2 linked regions of the Arabidopsis thaliana genome follow. The protein of the gene in region 2 purifies or fractionates together with the protein of the main gene of each other region. This does not show direct contact. Each region holds a gene or a part of one and is shown on either strand. Other genes may lie near its edges.

Region 1 (3,678 bases), on a different chromosome or scaffold from region 2:
ATTTGTGGCTTCGCTTGCGTATGTACACATCGATCTCAATATCGTCAGGAAGTAGAAGTCTTATCAACAGTCCTTCGCTTTCACTTATAGACTCGTAAAAGAAAATACTTTTGATCATCACTTGAAGAACTAAACTTTGTAGGTGTTGCTGCTTTTAGTAGAGTTATATCTTTGACACTACTTTGCTCTCCAATCTTGATTTTTCCTCAATTTTATTTACAGAGAATCTAAAGTGTTTAATCCATCCAACAAGTGAAGTGGAAAAGAGCGAATTGCCAAATTATGTAATGAGGAAAATGTTTCAAAGTAAATCAAGATAACACAATTACACAACGGTAATAACAACAAATGCATAATAAAGTTTACACTAAGACAACAAACGCTGATCCTAAACTTCCTTGCCTTAAAAAAAACTTGCCTTTAAAATTTTGTCTCCATAATTTTAACAATCATGACCGGAGTTTGAAAAGAGATCACTAAACCGGATTCTTCTTCGGCCTTCCTCTTCCTCTCTTCTTCGGTGTTCCATCTGAATTAACTCCAACACCATTATTACTCCTCACAGCCTCATTATCTCTCTTCGCCGCACCACCTGACCATCCATCAAAACTAACACCATTACCACTTGGAGGAGCTGCAACGCCGCCGGATGAGAAAACCGGAGGCATCCAATTAGGGAACTTAGCTGCATCTACTCCATTAGCAATGGCAGCTTCTCCTCCTTTACCACCAACAAACCCCATCGGAAAAAAACCCCAACAACAATAATACTCATCTTTACCAGGTATCAACGGAGGCAACTGAGGAATACTCGCAGCGTGAAACGCTCTTTGACAGTTTTGACATCTAATACAATACTCTTGATAAACCCTAGGATACTCATGAAGACTGTAACAGTACGGACACGCCGTCCAAAACGTAGACATCTTCTCATTCGTTGTTGTTTTCTTCTTCGATTTCTGAGTGTTGAGATTTACTTTAGTGAAGATGAGATTCAAATCTCCATCGAATTGAGATTTCTTCGTAGGTGTTGATAGAACTTCCCATGCATCAAGCACGAATCTGAAAGCTTGATCGGCGAAAGGGAAACGGTTTTTGTCAGGGTGGAGAAGAAGAGCAAGACGACGGTATTGTTTCTTGATTAGATCGTTGTCTGTTGATGATTCAGTTAGATCTTCGATCTGAAGGATTTTGTACCAGTTTGGTTGGTTTTTGATACGATTCTCTGGTGCTGATGAGAGTAAGACATCGACGACGGCGAGGATTTGATCGGTGCCTTCGAGGAGTGGCTCTGTCTCTTGAGCTAAGATTGCAAACTCTTTTGAACCGTTTAGATCTCGTGACTCGAGAAGCTTCTCCGCGATTCCGAGAAGACGTTCTGCTTCTGATCGGTTAGGGTTGTTGTCTCCCATCTTTCTTCTTCCGTCGGCGATGGCGGAGAAATGGTGAGCAGATCTAAATATTATCGCCTCGACAAGAGACGATGAAACAAGGCTCTGATTGGCTGTGTGTAAAAATGGTCGGGGGAAAAAAAATAGTAACATTGGAGTAAACGGAAACTAAAACTTTATTTGTTACCAAATTTATTTAGTAATAAAATCATTTCTTCATTTTTATGTTATTATTTTTCACAATTTTATTTTATGTTATTATTTTTCACCCTTTTATAATGTTACCTACTTACAATTCGTTTCCTATTTCGCCATATTTATAATATTGCAAATAAAATCCAGCTTTGTGTCACCAGTTACAAAAATAATATGATTATATACTTTATTGGTTTTATTAACACTACATTAAAAAGGTAAATAAAAGGAAAAATTACTATAGTATATTGGAAATAAAGTCGGTATTTGACTCACTAGAGAGTTATAATTTATAAATGAGACATAATTATTGTTTATTCATCTTATTCAGACAACATAACTAAAAAATATATGGTCAAGATAATATTAAATGTTTTAAGAATGAAAATTTTCTAGAGCTAAGAATATCGGAAATAAAGTTAGACGTATTATGTTTAACAGAAAAAGAGGCAGAATTATGGCAGTTAGCTCAATTTGAGCTCAATACCAAAAATAACGGTTCCATGGGATCGAAAAAACAAATTCGGGTTCAGAATATATCACACGATAATATTTATTCTGGTTTGCGTTGTTTTGTGGACGGATCTTGGAAAGGAAGCGATAAGTTTTCTGGATTAGGGTGGTTTTGCAGATCATCAAATGGAGACTCGCCAACCATGGGAGCTGCTAATCTTCGTAGAAGTCTTTATCCACTCCATACAGAAGTCGAAGCACTACTTTGGTCGATGAAGTGTATGATTGGTGCCGACAACCAAGAAGTAGCATTTTTTACAGACTATTCAGACTTGGTGAAGATGGTGTCTTCTCCAACCGAATGACCAGCGTTTTCAACTTATTTGGAGGAACTAAAGACCGATATAAGGAGGAATTCACAAAGTTTTCTTTATCTTTAATTTCTCGAACTGCAAATGTAAAGGCGGACAAATTGGCACGAAAAATTCATATTGAACCGCTTCATGTCACTTTTATAAATAATTTTCCTCACAATTGGCTCTTTTGAGCTCTAAATAAAATCTGTTGACAAAAAAAAAAAAAAAATCAGAAATAAAGTTCATCTATGACTACCTACCAAAACAAAAGTTCATCTTTGATTCACTCACAAAATAATACAAATAAAACATGAAAATTATAAAAACATTTAATATTATCTCTTACCATAATTTATTTATTTGTTGTACATAGTACAAATAAAATGGAAATAATAATTATTTTTTATTTGTAACGTTTGCCGGCCGAATAAAATATTAAATTTATTTGCAATACTACTCACAACAAACTTTACAAATAAAACATGATTATCGTTTTTTCTTTTCGTTCATTCAAACTATAAACAAAAGCAATGAAAGCATGATAAGAAATGATATTAAATGTTTAAAAAATAAAATTTGATATAACTATATTATTGGAAACAAAGTCCATATTTAAGTCACCTATAAAAAAGCATGATATGAAATAATAATAAATGTTTAAAATAATAATATAATATCTAATGGTATTTGAAATAATGTATGTGTTTGAAGATGTTATAAAAATGTTAAAAATAAAAATATAATTATCAATATTGATAATAATATTCATATTGATATGAAGAAATGATATTATTTCCAACTACAATTTATTTACTTTTCAATGTGATGTGAATAAATAAAGAATAATCATGTTTTAGCTAATGTTTCAAAATAGAAAAATTAATATAACCAAATACTGTAACCTAAAATTGTAAAAAATACCACTCTAGTAAATACCAATATTACCCCGGTTAGCTGCTACTAACATTAAGGGTGAAGTTGTCATTTGATACAGTGATCACGCACTTTTCACTTGTCTTCTTTATTAGTTTTTTTTCCTTGTTTTTTAAAGACATCACTTGTGACCAAAAAACAAATCCACTAAGAAAGAAAAACAAATTAATAAAAAAAAAAGATCAGAAATTAGTTTGTGCAGAAATCGAATTGGAGAAACCGAGTAACTATGGTAGCCACAGATGAGTTCATCGTTTTTGACCAGATCTGATTGTTTTCGTCTTTGCCGTTGAAATAATCCTCCGCTCCTTCTTCTCATCGATTTCTCCGATCGCGATTTTGGTTTCTCG
Region 2 (4,143 bases):
GAAGAGAAATCTTTCTCCAGAAGCGATGAAAGCTTCATTCGAGCTTCTGTCCATTCGTAATCTCTCACTGGAGAGCTTGCACTAACGGGAAGTGATGATGAAGACTCCTGTCCTGCTTCTGAAGGCTGTTGCTGAAGAAGATTCTCTAGAGAGTTCAGATAACTGTCAAACTCTTCTGGGTTTATATCCACAGGAGGGTGAGAGACTGCAATGACACCGTTCATAGAAGAAACATAGATATGCGGAACAAAAGCCTCTTCTTCTTCTTCTTCGTCTGCATAGTTACCTCTGCGTTTCTTCATCCTCTTGCTGCCTTTCTTTGCATCTGATTCCTTGTTTTCTTCAGTCAAGTCAAACACATCACCTTGTTGCTGTCTTGTGTAACGTTTCGAGGAAGATTCCCGAGCTGACTTATGTTCAGCAGCTGGTGTTGTTGTGGCTGTCTTTTTCCTGTTGCTAGCTCGCGGAGTTGCTTTAGGTTCATTAGTCTGTATCTGCACCTGTTTTCTCTTCCTCTGGCTGTAACGCGAAGTTGATCCTTCTTTTTTTACATCCTCAGCATCCTCATCTTGATTCTGTCCTTCTTTGGATGTCTCTTCAAACAGAGACGCAGCATCAACTACAGAAAAAAAGAAACATCATTCATGTGTTGCAGATAGAGTTTTATGGCTGACGCAACAGAAGAGTGTTAGTTGCTACCTCTTTCTGCAGGCTGAAACAAAGCCGGAATGTTCCAGGTAAAAGATGCAAAGAATGCATTAGCATCCATATCAGGGAAACTAGTTTCGAGATAACGCGAAAGAGTGTTTTTGCTTGCAAAAGATTTGGGTACATTCTTGCCCTTAAGCCTCTCCGGGAGAATGAGTAAGCGATCCTTATGGAACCCGGCATTATTCACTCTCCTCCCAACTCTCCAAGTCCAAACATCGCCGGGGCTCGGGAAATCGACAGGTGCAAACGGCAAACCTTGACCACTAGAAGCTGGCGGAATCGCCGGGAGTTGATTCAAATCAGTGAAGGAGCTTCTGTCACCATTAACCTTCACATCATCACCATCACCATCACTGTTGAATCCGTTTTCCCGATAATAGTCATTCTCAACCGGGACTGGTTCAGTCTCCTTGCTTCTATTACTCATTGACACTACTGATTCACCATCAAATCTGTGCAGATTCATAAATGTGATTGAATCAAATAACATAACTTAACTAATTGCTTTGCAGTTATAATCACATATATTCATTACTCTATTCCCAATAACAAAACAAAATCGATCATGACTCAAAGTTTCCTAGAATCAATGCAGAGAAACCTATACAGAAGTGTAAACATATTGATAGTTCTTAATGAATTGAATTTACCCAGGAGAATTTTGACCTATCTCTTGATCCATATCCATCGAAGCAGACCAAAAACCCTAATTCCTGCGATAGATAAACACCCAAATAAACAAAGCAAAGGATGAATTCTAATCTATAACAATGTTAAGGGAACAAACCCACACAAATTAAAAGTTAAGTTGATTAGAAATTTCTCCAGAATGCAGATAAAGATACGAACTTTGGAGAGTCAAGAACAGAGTAGCCGATCTTATGCTTCAACTACAACAGATTACAAATTTATCAAACTCATTCGTTTCTTATATATCCTCTTTTCGATCAGATTAGTCCTACAAACAGAGGTGGAATAACAGTTATACCCTTTTAGTTTGTTTTTGTTTACACAGATGAAGATTGAAATTACGATTATACCGTTCAATGTTTCTTCTTCACCGACTTGAAAGCTATGACCTTTCCGATCACCGGCGTTAGTTATGAGCCTCCTCTCCGCGGACGCACTTGGGTTACTTCTCAAGAATGCAATCTCCGCGAGTTCCATGCGTTTGGGTCGCGTCGTTCACGCAAGAATCGTCAAAACCCTCGATTCACCACCACCTCCGTTTCTCGCGAACTATCTCATCAACATGTACTCAAAACTCGACCATCCGGAATCAGCCCGACTCGTTCTCCGACTCACTCCTGCACGAAACGTCGTCTCTTGGACTTCACTTATCTCCGGACTTGCTCAGAACGGTCATTTCTCCACCGCTTTGGTTGAATTCTTCGAGATGCGACGAGAAGGTGTTGTTCCAAATGACTTCACTTTCCCTTGTGCTTTTAAAGCTGTGGCTTCTCTGCGTTTACCCGTTACTGGGAAGCAGATTCATGCGCTTGCTGTGAAGTGTGGTAGGATACTTGATGTGTTTGTTGGGTGTAGTGCTTTTGATATGTATTGCAAAACTAGGCTTAGAGATGATGCACGGAAGTTGTTCGATGAAATTCCTGAGAGGAACCTTGAAACTTGGAATGCTTTTATATCTAACTCTGTGACTGATGGAAGGCCTAGGGAAGCTATTGAAGCGTTTATTGAGTTTAGAAGGATTGATGGGCACCCGAATTCGATAACTTTTTGTGCTTTCCTTAATGCTTGTTCGGATTGGTTACACTTGAATCTAGGAATGCAGTTACACGGGCTTGTGTTACGAAGTGGGTTTGATACAGACGTCTCTGTTTGCAATGGGTTGATTGATTTCTATGGAAAGTGTAAGCAGATACGTAGCAGTGAGATTATCTTTACTGAAATGGGAACTAAAAATGCTGTTTCTTGGTGTTCATTGGTTGCTGCATATGTGCAGAATCATGAGGATGAGAAGGCGTCTGTATTATATTTACGCTCAAGGAAGGATATTGTTGAGACCTCTGATTTTATGATATCAAGTGTTCTGAGTGCGTGTGCTGGTATGGCTGGTCTTGAGTTGGGAAGATCGATACATGCTCACGCTGTGAAGGCGTGTGTTGAAAGGACTATATTTGTTGGAAGTGCCCTCGTTGACATGTATGGAAAATGTGGATGTATAGAAGATTCAGAACAAGCGTTTGATGAGATGCCTGAGAAGAACTTAGTGACTCGGAATTCATTGATCGGAGGATATGCTCATCAGGGTCAGGTTGATATGGCATTGGCTTTATTTGAAGAAATGGCACCACGTGGATGTGGTCCAACTCCAAATTATATGACTTTTGTGTCCTTGCTTTCCGCTTGTAGTAGAGCAGGGGCTGTGGAAAATGGTATGAAGATATTTGATTCGATGAGGAGTACTTATGGCATTGAGCCAGGGGCTGAGCATTATTCATGCATCGTGGACATGCTAGGGCGAGCGGGAATGGTAGAACGGGCTTATGAATTCATAAAGAAAATGCCAATTCAACCGACAATTTCGGTTTGGGGTGCTCTTCAGAATGCTTGTAGGATGCATGGTAAGCCACAGCTGGGATTACTAGCAGCTGAGAACCTTTTCAAACTCGACCCTAAGGATTCAGGCAACCACGTTCTGCTTTCCAATACGTTTGCAGCGGCTGGGAGGTAAATGAACCGCATTGATTCTATTCAATTTTTATTCATCTTGTTAGGTTGAAATCATATTCTAATCAATTCAAAAGAAGCCACACGATGCTTTGTAAACAAGAGCCACCCAAATGTTTAGAAGAAAGACTACAAAACTAGGAGTATCTGAGCATTATCTGAATCGAGTTTTAAATAGATGAAACTTGTGTTAAACATGAAGCAGGGGAGACCAACCATTTATTTTGTCTTCAGTTACTTATGATCTAACTATATTATAACTAATCAATGATAGGTGGGCGGAAGCCAACACCGTAAGAGAGGAGCTGAAAGGCGTAGGGATCAAGAAAGGAGCCGGATACAGTTGGATCACAGTGAAGAACCAAGTCCATGCCTTTCAAGCCAAGGACAGATCCCACATACTGAACAAAGAAATTCAAACAACGCTGGCCAAGCTAAGGAACGAAATGGAAGCTGCAGGGTACAAACCCGACCTGAAACTCTCGCTTTACGATCTGGAGGAAGAAGAAAAAGCAGCAGAAGTCTCGCACCACAGTGAGAAACTGGCTCTAGCATTTGGATTGTTATCTTTACCACTCAGTGTCCCAATCAGAATCACCAAGAACCTTAGAATCTGCGGAGATTGCCACAGCTTCTTCAAGTTTGTCTCTGGGAGTGTTAAACGAGAGATCATTGTGAGAGACAATAACCGGTTTCATCGGTTTAAAGATGGGATATGTTCTTGTAAGGATTATTGGTAAT

Evidence for each region.
Region 1: the proteins of AT4G14840 (region 2) and AT2G01710 fractionate together in Arabidopsis thaliana (co-fractionation; one large-scale study listed by BioGRID). This does not show direct contact.

The regions. Positions count from the first base shown.
Region 1 is NC_003071.7:313,570-317,247, reverse strand, and holds AT2G01710 (Chaperone DnaJ-domain superfamily protein), read right to left. Parts: upstream 1,601-3,678; 5' UTR 1,545-1,600; coding exon 477-1,544; 3' UTR 255-476; downstream 1-254. Other genes in the region: AT2G01720 (Ribophorin I), read left to right, coding at 1-55.
Region 2 is NC_003075.7:8,512,134-8,516,276, forward strand, and holds the start of AT4G14840 (spindle assembly abnormal protein), read right to left. Parts: upstream 1,814-4,143; 5' UTR 1,752-1,813; exon of another isoform or gene 1,674-1,751; intron 1,595-1,673; exon of another isoform or gene 1,561-1,594; intron 1,450-1,560; exon of another isoform or gene 1,425-1,449; 5' UTR 1,400-1,424; coding exon 1,362-1,399; intron 1,164-1,361; coding exon 700-1,163; intron 620-699; coding exon 1-619. Other genes in the region: LOI1 (Pentatricopeptide repeat (PPR) superfamily protein), read left to right, coding at 1,814-3,402, 3,677-4,142.